Drosophila melanogaster: one gene and its partner. The gene in region 1 interacts genetically with each later gene. Each region holds a gene or a part of one and is shown on either strand. Other genes may lie near its edges.

Region 1 (6,849 bases):
TATGGAGATCTGCTGCCCAAGGATCGACCTGTCCCCATTTGGTTATGCGTCTTTCTGGTAGTGAGCTACATCCTTGGCGGAGCTGTTCTTTTTGCGTACTGGGAGAACTGGTCCTTCTTGGATTCCGCCTACTTTTGCTTCATTACACTGACAACAATCGGTTTGTGTTTATCCCAATTCCTTGCGCACTCTTTTCATCTGCTTTTGCATTACAGGATTTGGTGACTTTGTCCCCGCGAAAGGAGTCAAGGACGAGTCGGAGCAGTCCATCGCCTATTGCTCGCTGTACCTTCTTTTCGGCATTGCCTTGTTGGCCATGAGTTTTAACCTGGTCCAGGAGGAGTTCATTGCCAATGTGAAGGAGGTAGCCCGCCGTCTGGGCATTCTTAAGGATGATGACGACGAGCAGGATGAGGATTAGTAATAGATAGATAGATAGTTATGACATCTGTTTTTTCCTAAATATGTTGGATGCTCTAATTATAAGGAACACACTTTGAAAGATGGATATTTAATATGTTTAAATGTTTTATGAAAAAAAACTTCAACAAATTTAAATTCACAAACGAGAATATGATAAGTAAAATAGTTAAGATTATATTAATTATAAAGCGCTTCCTTGGAAGGCATGACATCATTAAAAAACCAAATTCACTTCTTCCCTAAAAAATAGTATCGAAGTTTAAGAATACCTTCTGATATATCTTAAACCTGCACTTGAACTAAAGATTTCCTTAACTTTACATAGCATACTGAGTTTATTTAAATAATAAATGTACGAAATTCCAAAGATTGATATACAGATAAAATGAATATCCAGAAGAGCCAAACAAACACAGCGATCCGAAATCCACTAACATAAACGGGTTACTGGGAAGGGGAGACTACTACTGTCATCGAATGCAATCAGGCTACGTTTTCTTTGTTGTGCTAAAAATATTGAAAATAAAAGCAATGATAATATATCCCCACCCTTTATTTGTTAAGTCATTAGCGGACTTGCACTTGACTTACCCTGACGAAGGCGGGAGAACCTCGAGGTGACGTTTTACTGGGTGTCAGGGAACGTGACAACGAGCTGCTGCGTTTTCCACCAGTAGCTACGGGTGGCTTTAGGGCGTTCGAATTGGAATTGCGGGTGGTGCCGCACCCACGCTTCACGGTGACACCATCCACGGGCTCAATGGGCGTGGAGTTCATTATGGTTTCAGTTTCGGACAGCTCCTGGACGGAATGCATGGAGACGTCATGCTCACCCTCGCTGCACTACGGATTGGAAACATAAAAGTTGGTGCTTTTCAACATACAAGGTTGAAGGATTTTAGGTTACCTCATCTATAGTGGCCGTGGTGTCCAGATCTGACCAGTCCAGCTCTTGGCGATAGCGCCTCACAATTTCCTGATGTGGCGACGTGGCCACGAGGGTGCGCGGATAAACGAAATCCCTTTTGGAGGGCGTGGTCCCAGTTGGGGCGTACGTTTTCAACTCCGACTGTTGGAAGCGTACAAGCTCTTGCTCGCAAATTTGCAGCTGCTGCCGTTGGTGTTCAGCATGCTCCGAGAACTGCCGGTTCGACTCTTGGACAAGATCAGTGGCTACAGTGGCATGGCCTATGAATCGCTGTCTGTCCTCGGTGATAAGCTGCTGCCTTGCATCCACCATCTGTTCCAAGTTAACTTCGGTTTTCTCCTGCACCGCCTCAAGCTGCTGCTTGCTCTCTTGGCAAATAATTTCCACCTGATTGTGGTGCACTCGAACGGAACCAACATTCTCATTTGTTTCCTTTTCGTATTTCTGGTTGAGATTCTTCATGTGCACCTGAAGCATCGAACAGTTGGCAACGCCTTGGTCCAGACAAAGCATTCCCGCCTCCATTTGGCTGGTGAGCTCCGCTTGTGCGGATTGGGAAGCTTCTATGCCCAACTTTTGGTAGTCTTGGATACCAGACTTAATATCATCGATGCGATGATTTCTCGTCAGTCGACTCTCCTCCATCTTATTAAGATGTACGGACATGCTGATGCTATTTTTGGACCGCAAGTTCTTGATCTGTTCCATCTGCATCATCATGGACTCAAGGAGAGCATCCTCCTGCTGCGCCAGAGCTCGTTCATTCGCCAACTCCTCTTGAAGATTCTGCAGTTCCTCCGCATCTGGCAAACTCATTGCCCCGAGCTGCTCCAACTTCTTGTGCATTTGCTTCGCATGTTCTTCCACAGACTGTAAGCTGCTGTCAATTATGGTGGCGAACTTTTCCTGCATAGAGTCCAGCATGGCTTTGTGCCGCTGGTTGTTTTCCTCGATCACCTGCAGGTTAGTCTGAATTTCTTTGCTCATCAAAAGCTGTTGCTGCTGCATCTGCTCCATCAGCTTGGCGACAAATGCCTGAGAGTGCTGATCGCTGATCTTCATGACTTCTCCTATTAACTTATTATGGAGGTTGGTCTGATCCTGTAGCGATTGGGCACACATCTCCTTAAGCATTTCGATGCTTTTGCTGGAATTTAGTGCAAGGCGTTGGCTCACATAGCTCGAGTTTACTGGAGATTTATAAAATTTTACTTATGTACAATAATATACAAATTGATTTCTGTAGATAGCTTACCCATTTCCTGGCTTAGCTGCTCCTTGAGGGCTGCCTGCTGATCCTGATACAAGTTCAGGCTGCCACCGATCATTTCCAAATTATCCTGCATACGATCTTTGAACTGATCGCAAGATCGGCGAATCTTCTCATCCAACTCACGCCTTCTTTCGATGGTTCCGTGCAGCTGATGAGTATCATCAGTGGCCAGATCAGCAGCGGCTAGGATCTCCTGAGCCTGTGTGGTCAAAACCTGCTCCGTTTTCATATGCGAGGCCACCAACTCCTTTTTTTCCTTGTATCGTCGCTTGGTCTTGGTCAGCACTTTCTTGGTCAGGAGCAAAGTACCCTTCGTGTTCAGTAGGTTCTCCTCGGTCTTTTTCAGCTCCTGCGTTTTCTCCACAAGACTCATGCTCACCTCACTGAAGATCTTCTCCTTGTTCTGGAGTTCGTCCTTCAAAGCCTTGAGCAGCAGCATTTTCTCGTTAAGCTCGCGGTTCTGGGATTCTAACTTCAAAGTTATCTCCCCGTAGGTTTCCTCGGCCAAATAGATGCCATTCTTGTCCCTGGCCGCCATAAGATCTCTTTTAAGCTTGTCGATTTCTTCGGTGTATTCCTTGAGCACAGTCTTTTTGGTCAGCTTCTGATTGACTTCGGGCTTGTTTTGAATGTTCTTGGCGCGATGAGCGTACTCTAAAGTGCTCAGGGTCTCCTCGATGTCCTTGTGGCCCGGCGATATGGTGGCTATGATGGAGGTCTTGGTCCTGCCACCCAGAGATTCTTGCAGCAGTCTAGTCAGCTTTGATTCACGATATGGAACGTGAGGAGCGCGATCGACCAAAGCGGTAATTACTCTACCGAGAGTCAAGAGGCTCTGATTGATGTTTACTGTTTCCCGCACACGTATTCCCTTTTCATTCCCAGCCTTGGAAACATTTTCACTGCCCGCCAGATCCACCAGATTCAGTTTACCGATTTTCAGCATGTCCTCTCCTTCGATGCCATTCTCCCTGATGTGCACAACTATAGAAAATACAGTGTGGGAGCGTGAGGACTGTGCATTCATCAGCGTAGTGGCTGTTTTGCGACGCTCCTTTCCCTTCTCCAGCAGCTTGTACACATCATCCTTGCTGTGCACTGGTATCTCCTCCAGGCCCTGGATAATCACCGATCCCTTCTTGGTGCTGTCATCGAAAATGCGTATCTTGGTGGTGTCATCGGTGGACAGTAGATCGCACAGCTCCTCATTGTACAGTTCCAAGTAGGAAATGCGCATAGTGTACTCCACCTCCATCATGCGCAGCTCATCGAAAAGGTGACTCAGAGCGCGCGGTATGATGCCAATGTCAGAGTCCTAAGCGGGAAGACAAATTGGAAAAGGTTAGATTAGCGATTCTTAGAAAAGAAAAACTGGTTTCGATGGCCTTGAGCCAGATGGCTAAGAATGGCAAAGACCTTTTTTGTTTGGTTAAACTGCGAAAGTGAGAATGTAGGGCCCTACGCTGATATGGTTGATATGGTTTTGATTTGAATTTTTGTTCACTCACATCTTCCCAGGAGGATTTCAGTTCGGCAGTCTCGTTGCCCACCATGGTGTGGGTCTTCCCTGTGCCCGTCTGGCCATAAGCAAACACCGTGCAGTTATAGCCATTGAGGACCTCCTCGATCAGCGGAGACACCACGACGGAGTAGACATCGCACTGCTTGGACTCGGGGCCAAAACTGCGGTCAAAGGTGAACTTCTTGGTGAGCTTGGAGTCCAGCGTGTGGCGGGTGACCACTTCCCGTGGTCCGACCACATCCACGACTTCGGCCGAGCGGATGCAACGTTCCCGAGAATTAAGGGGTCTACAAAAGATATAGAAGATATATGTAGATCTTTTTAAGGGGTTTTGGTTACATATACAAACTCACCTGACGCGCACATACACCTGGATGTTTTGGTTGGACTTCTTTTGGGGCTGGCGCGACGTATTCCCACCAGATATGTCCATATTGATCAATTGAAACAATTAATTGTGGTTTTAGCGCGTACAGTCCAAAAAATGACGCCTGTCGCGTGTATCGGTATGCGTGTGTGTGTGTGTTTGATTCCTGGAAATCCTTGTGCTTCACCTTCCACCGAGCCGAATGCTGATAACTGTAACTACTATTTACAGAAGGCTGGCGTGGAAAACCAATTTTCGCACTATTTCCAATGAGAACAGAGAGAAGCAGCGTCTTCAGTTGTCCGTTCAATTTTAAAATAATGCGCAAATAGTGTGACCGCAACACGGCACCCTGAAAATACCAACATCGAAAAATACAAGTATTGGAAAACTACAGAATGTTCAAATTATTTGAATTAAATAATTTTTTATCTTTTATTTGTTCTACATTAAACCATTAAATATGTATAGTAAACTCTTATTATCAAATAATCCCGACTAGGCTATGTGGTGAAGAATGCCCTGCCTCACGAGAGACTCCACCTGAGCTCGGGGCAGATAGTGCTGGCTGTTCTTCTTCAGGTGGATCACCTCGCCGTCGTCCAGCTCGAACTTCCCATAGTCCTCCATGCAGCGCACCTCGATGTAAAGTGACTTGGGCGGACGCAGATTGTTGCCCGTCTGGCCATAAGCAAACACCGTGCAGTTATAGCCATTGAGGACCTCCTCGATCAGCGGAGACACCACGACGGAGTAGACATCGCACTGCTTGGACTCGGGGCCAAAACTGCGGTCAAAGGTGAACTTCTTGGTGAGCTTGGAGTCCAGCGTGTGGCGGGTGACCACTTCCCGTGGTCCGACCACATCCACGACTTCGGCCGAGCGGATGCAACGTTCCCGAGAATTAAGGGGTCTACAAAAGATATAGAAGATATATGTAGATCTTTTTAAGGGGTTTTGGTTACATATACAAACTCACCTGACGCGCACATACACCTGGATGTTTTGGTTGGACTTCTTTTGGGGCTGGCGCGACGTATTCCCACCAGATATGTCCATATTGATCAATTGAAACAATTAATTGTGGTTTTAGCGCGTACAGTCCAAAAAATGACGCCTGTCGCGTGTATCGGTATGCGTGTGTGTGTGTGTTTGATTCCTGGAAATCCTTGTGCTTCACCTTCCACCGAGCCGAATGCTGATAACTGTAACTACTATTTACAGAAGGCTGGCGTGGAAAACCAATTTTCGCACTATTTCCAATGAGAACAGAGAGAAGCAGCGTCTTCAGTTGTCCGTTCAATTTTAAAATAATGCGCAAATAGTGTGACCGCAACACGGCACCCTGAAAATACCAACATCGAAAAATACAAGTATTGGAAAACTACAGAATGTTCAAATTATTTGAATTAAATAATTTTTTATCTTTTATTTGTTCTACATTAAACCATTAAATATGTATAGTAAACTCTTATTATCAAATAATCCCGACTAGGCTATGTGGTGAAGAATGCCCTGCCTCACGAGAGACTCCACCTGAGCTCGGGGCAGATAGTGCTGGCTGTTCTTCTTCAGGTGGATCACCTCGCCGTCGTCCAGCTCGAACTTCCCATAGTCCTCCATGCAGCGCACCTCGATGTAAAGTGACTTGGGCGGACGCAGATTGTTGGTTAGATCAATGGGCAAGCCCTGGTTGTAGCCCGCACTGCACATGTAGGCAGCCAGGGACTTGGAGTAGTTGTTGAAGAAGGTGACCTCCGGTTCGCAGAGTGCCTGCTTGATGTCCCCGGGGATAATGGGTCCAAACTCCCACCTGAGGGCCTTGATCCTCCTGCACCGCTCGTATAGGTAGGCCAGCAGGCACCTCTTGTTCCTCTGGAGAGCTGCGTGCCTGAAGTTGAGCAGGGGCCACAGACTGCGATCCCCGGAAGCATTGTAGCTGGAGGCCTGGGCCACGTTCTCCTCGAATATCGCCTTGATCTCCTCCAGCACCTGGCGCACCCCATCGTCGTCGAAGGCGGGAATTGTCTGCGACGATCTCTCCAGTTCTTTTAGCAGGTCGAAGGCTTTCTCGCCGAACATTTTTGTTTGTCGGCTCATTGTTGATCCTCTCTGTTTTTCTTTGGTTTGGGGATCTAGTGATGGATTCGCGCCAAAATGTTCGTCGACTTGTGGTATCGATACTTGGTATTTCTTTTGGTATATTTCAAAAAATAACAAAAATTTCATCCTCAGTAGCCATGTTCCTTTAAAATAGATTTGAAACGGTGATTTATCAAAATTTAGCTTACGAGGCCCAAATTATGCCGTCCTAAGAGGAAATGCCATCCTGGTTA
Region 2 (4,586 bases), on another chromosome or scaffold:
ACTGAAGCCGGGCCCCTTTTTGGATTCTCCGGCTGGGGGGCTCGTCTGGAAGGGCGGCTCGATGTCCTCCAGTAGGGGCTCGCCCATTGGATCGGGCCTCGAATTGAAGGTCTTGAGCGGGGTCACCGCGGGACCCATGACCACGTCGTCGTCGTCATCGTTGTTGTTGTGTGCACTGGCTGCCGAAAGTGGGCGTAGTTGCTGCTGCTGTTGCATGTGTTGCTGCTGCTGTTGCTGCTGCTGCTGCTGCTGCAGCTGTTGTGGTGGTTGTTGCTGTTGCGGTTGCATGGGCGGCTGGTTGAAAGGCGGTCGATTGAAGGGTGCCTGCAGCGGCTGTCCCGGCGGCGGGCGTGCAAAAGTAGGTGGCGGCGGTCGCGTCATATTCTGGGGCGGACGTGCTCCGGGTGGCATTCCCGGTGCCCCGGCTGGATTCCAAGGAAATCCGCCTGGTGGCCTTGGTGGTCCCTGGCCCGGCGGGCTAAGCTGTCCGCCGGCATTGGGCAGACGAGCCTGCTGCATATTGAGTTGCGGTGGCATGCCCGGTCGCATCGGTGGACCCATTAGCAGGTTGCTCTTGCTGTCTGTGCTGCGCAGCGGTGGTGGCCTGGCCGCCATGTTCGGCGGCATGGGTGGTCGTGGTCCCATTCCGACCATAGGTCGGGCTCCGGCGAACGGAGGACGCGGCTGTGGTGGCCCCACGGCGGGACGCATCTGCGGTGGCAAGACAAAGTTCTGTGGTGGTCGCACATACTCGGTATTGGGTATACTTTGGAGCTTGGGATTGGGTGAGGAGAGGGTGGGCCGCGAGTTGGTGCGTGACAGGGTGGTGCGATCTTTAGGTGGTGCATTATAGCCGGTGGTGTAGTCTAGTGTGGTTGGTGGCGGACGTTGCTGACGTTCATATGCAGAGTAATCGGTAGCTGGCTGGGATCTCTGTGGCTGCAGTTGACTGCGGTCATCTCTAGGTGCCTCATAGGCATTGTTCTGATACTCTGGATTCTGCTGAGATCGTATCTGCTGTTTGGAAACTGAATCTGAGCCGTAGGAGGCACTATCCGAAGTGGTGTTGCTATTGGTATAATCTGTGCTTAACTGAGCACTTGGCTGTTCTTTCTTTCGTTCCACAGATGAATCGGAGGACTCAAAAGGCACATAATCCTGCGTGGGTTGTGGTCTCGACTGCTGCTGAGGACGATCTACAGATGCGGAATTCATGACATACTCTGACTTGGACTGAGCGCGCTGCTGCTGCACTGGGTAATCCTGTGGAGAAATAATCTCCTGGCCGGAGCGATCCTTTCCCGTGCCGTACATCCTAGCGAAGGACTAGAACTTCTCGCCTGCGGTGTCGGTGCAGAAATGTGCAAGTGTCTGGTAACCCAATATGTGGCGGAGCCACTTTTTGGTGGCCAATGCCATCGATATACACCCACATGCTCCGCTGCCCCGGCAAACTGGCCCATATCATTTGCATATGTATGGCCATATATCGTTGTGGGCTTACTTTTACTTCTGCCAACTGTGGGGTTGCCAAAGTGCCAATGGTGGAGCTAAAGCTCGTGTATCGGAACAGACGTACGTATCAATATAGTTCACATTGAGTGGGTGCTTTCAAATTTGATGGCTCTTTCTGCATTTGTTTACATTTTATTGTTTTGGTATTCACTACTTGGCTACTTGGCTATATGGCTATAAGGATATTTGGGTATTTGGCGTTCGGGCGTTCGGTCTTTGGTTACCATTAGGGAATTTTGTCATGAAATCCGGTTGCCAGCTGTAACGTGACCCAAATTGTTTTTGTGGCTTATTGATTCAACAAAAGTTTTGGCAGTTCTAAGGCCCAAATCGACGGGCCACAAGAAATCGCTGTTTGATTTGTTTCGCAAAAGGGTTCCTTCCACTGACAATGATGTATGTGCAAGGTCGGCGGAATAATACATCCATTAACCTGGATCATTCCCTATGCAAATTATGCTCGTAAATCATTTGTGCATGGGCGAATCGGTGTGCGCTAAGTGCAGCTCCAAAATATATATGAATTCAAGCAAAACTCACCGCATCGGTATCACTCATATCTGAGTGGGTTACTACTGTTCGAATTCGGATCGGGGACTATGTCTATATAGACTGGTTCTCGGCACTGCCTGGCAATTAACTTAATGCGGAGAAAAAACCGAAAACTTTTGCATTAAGTTCCAGTGCTTTTTTTTTTTTTTTGGTGTGTGTTACATTTGACGGGCGAATCGATAAAATTGCACAGGACGACGAGGGATTCTTTAAACTGGAGGAGCTATGACCTCAGCACGTGCCACATCCGACTGCCAACTAAAGAGGCAACTGCAACTTGTGCCGACTCAGAGTCGGAATCGCCAACTTCCTGGCAGTAGCAAAAAAAAAAATATATATATATATAATAGTACAAAATAAAGAAGGCCTGGCAGAAACAGCAACTGCAAATTAGGGCTACAATGATTTGTGATTTATTCGCGGCTGACATAAACCGAAATTCCACACAATGTTCATGTCAACCGCACAACAACGTTCAACTCAACTGTCATTTGTGGCCAAATGGTCTTGGCCAAATTGATTATCAGCCAAGTGGAATGGGGTTGGTAAGTCAACAGTTGCACAGGTGCAAGCACAAAAGTTTCCTAAGCCCGTGGCTTGCATTTCAATTAGATTCACCCTCGGTGAAATATGGTTAACAAAACTTGGTCCTTTGGCAATTGAATTCTGGCGCCACTGCAGTAGCGATTTTTATCACACAGTCCAAAGACTATCAATTGTAGTTGCAGTTGCAGTTGGCCATAAAACAAAACAAGCGCCATGCAATGCAATTGTATCGATTTTCCTGGCCAGGGGGCAATAACTTGGCCACGTACAGCCTGAGAAGGCTAATGCACTTTGCACTTTGGCTTGAACACGGGAATGAAGGTGCAATTTACCTAGGCGTAAGTAACCACACACTTCTACTGTGACAAAATCGCGTAATAATATAATATGTTTTATATTTTCTTATATTTTTTTTTTATATATTTTTGTTTTCTATTTAATTGAAATATTCTGGTGGAGCTACGACGCCAGCTCCCTGCACTGCGTTGTGTTTGGCGCGAGTGTTAAAACTCGACTGCTTTTATTTGCTTTGAAAAATTTCGAATTACAATACTTAGAATTTGTTTTGATACGCCAACTTGGTCTGGCGGAGCGTGGTCGCTCGTAAACTTCTCGGGGCGCATAAACAGAATGTGTCCTTGCGCAGTTCAAAGCGCTGCCAGGATATATTTTTGGTGGAGCAGCCCCTTGTATTCTGGCTATATTCTATTGACATACAAATTTATTAGTGGGGCGCCGGGGAAAAATGCAAATTCAACACGCCAACAATGAGCGAATGGGGAGCCTATAACGCTGATTTTATATGCAGATTTCATTTGACTTGATTAATTTAATGGCCACCGGGGGAGGCATTTCGACGCGCATTTGTGCATTCCCATTCCCAGACCCAATCCTTTGCCCTCGACAATCGGGAGGGTGGCATATATATTTTTGTATCCACATAGAGCCAACTTGCACCGCTTGCCACGCACCTTTCCATTATCCAGGTGTTGTTGTCATAGGTTCCCCTAATTGTTGTCTATTTATTTACAAGCAGGCAGCACGCAAAACTCCGGCGCTCTAATGCGTAGACATAAAAGTAAACCTGGGGAGATCCAAACTGACGTGAGGTTAGCCAAGGATTCAGACTCAGACGTGGAAGGAGCGTAGTCCTGGGCTAATGTCTGCATAGTTCTGTAGCCTAATTTCGATTGCCAAGGTTATGGTTCTTACTCTAGGACTGAATTAGTTTGATTTCCTGACGATTCTTTGTATTTAACATAACCATAATTGAAGCCATTTTAAGTTCTCATTAAGTTCCATAAATCTGAATACAAACCTGGAAGTAAAAGAGAAAATTTTGTTTAATATAAAGCGTTTATTTTTTAATTTATCTATTTTTAAAATTCTATTAAAATTTTACTTTTTATTATATATATTTATTTTAGCGGGTTTTATATTTTTCTACTAAAACAAACGAATTCGCCTGATATTATATCCAATTTGCCGTTAGGTTGCCGTCCAAGCTAATCTAATGCAACAACCCAGCGAAGAGCTAATATCCAAACCAGCACTGCTTGCACGTAACAGCCATGTGAATTCGAAATTAACTAATATAAATATTAACAATAAGTATGCAAGGCTAAGGGCAGATTTTATACTCTCCCAACACAGCTTATGCATTAGAGTTTACCACTTTATTTGAACTTACTAAAATGGAATAATCGATTTGGTAACCATTTTAATTAGTAGAAAATTACTCAAATGTTATGTAAATCAAGTGCATTTAATCGGAAGCGCACGCTAAGCAAGGTCGACTGCTTTTTGTTGACACTTTTCCAAGGGGGGTGGTTTTGCCACCCCCTAATCGCTTTCGTTTTCCTTTCCTTCCGGCATTTGTTTAGCTTTTTTTTTGGGGGGATGCAGCCGGTCGGTGGGTGGTGGGTTTACGTTGTATCTATCGGCATGCCTTCCTTTTGGTTGGCTTCCCTTGG

The links. A genetic interaction does not mean that the proteins touch.
Region 2: of Klp61F (region 1) and tau, changing one enhances a phenotype caused by changing the other (phenotypic enhancement), as found in Drosophila melanogaster (one study listed by BioGRID).

The regions. Positions count from the first base shown.
Region 1 is NT_037436.4:1,241,062-1,247,910, forward strand, and holds Klp61F (Kinesin-like protein at 61F), read right to left. Parts: upstream 4,850-6,849; 5' UTR 4,580-4,849; coding exon 4,500-4,579; intron 4,434-4,499; coding exon 4,133-4,433; intron 3,940-4,132; coding exon 2,607-3,939; intron 2,542-2,606; coding exon 1,331-2,541; intron 1,267-1,330; coding exon 1,015-1,266; intron 965-1,014; exon of another isoform or gene 931-964; coding exon 907-930; 3' UTR 507-906; downstream 1-506. Other genes in the region: galene, read left to right, coding at 1-160, 216-421; CG32318 (uncharacterized protein), read right to left, coding at 5,012-5,426, 5,493-5,572; Psf1 (partner of Sld five 1), read right to left, coding at 6,005-6,613. UniProt on the Drosophila melanogaster protein: Important role in mitotic dividing cells. Microtubule motor required for spindle body separation.
Region 2 is NT_033777.3:27,647,748-27,652,333, forward strand, and holds the start of tau (tau), read right to left. Parts: upstream 3,008-4,586; 5' UTR 2,946-3,007; intron 2,156-2,945; 5' UTR 2,056-2,155; intron 1,961-2,055; 5' UTR 1,315-1,960; coding exon 3-1,314; intron 1-2.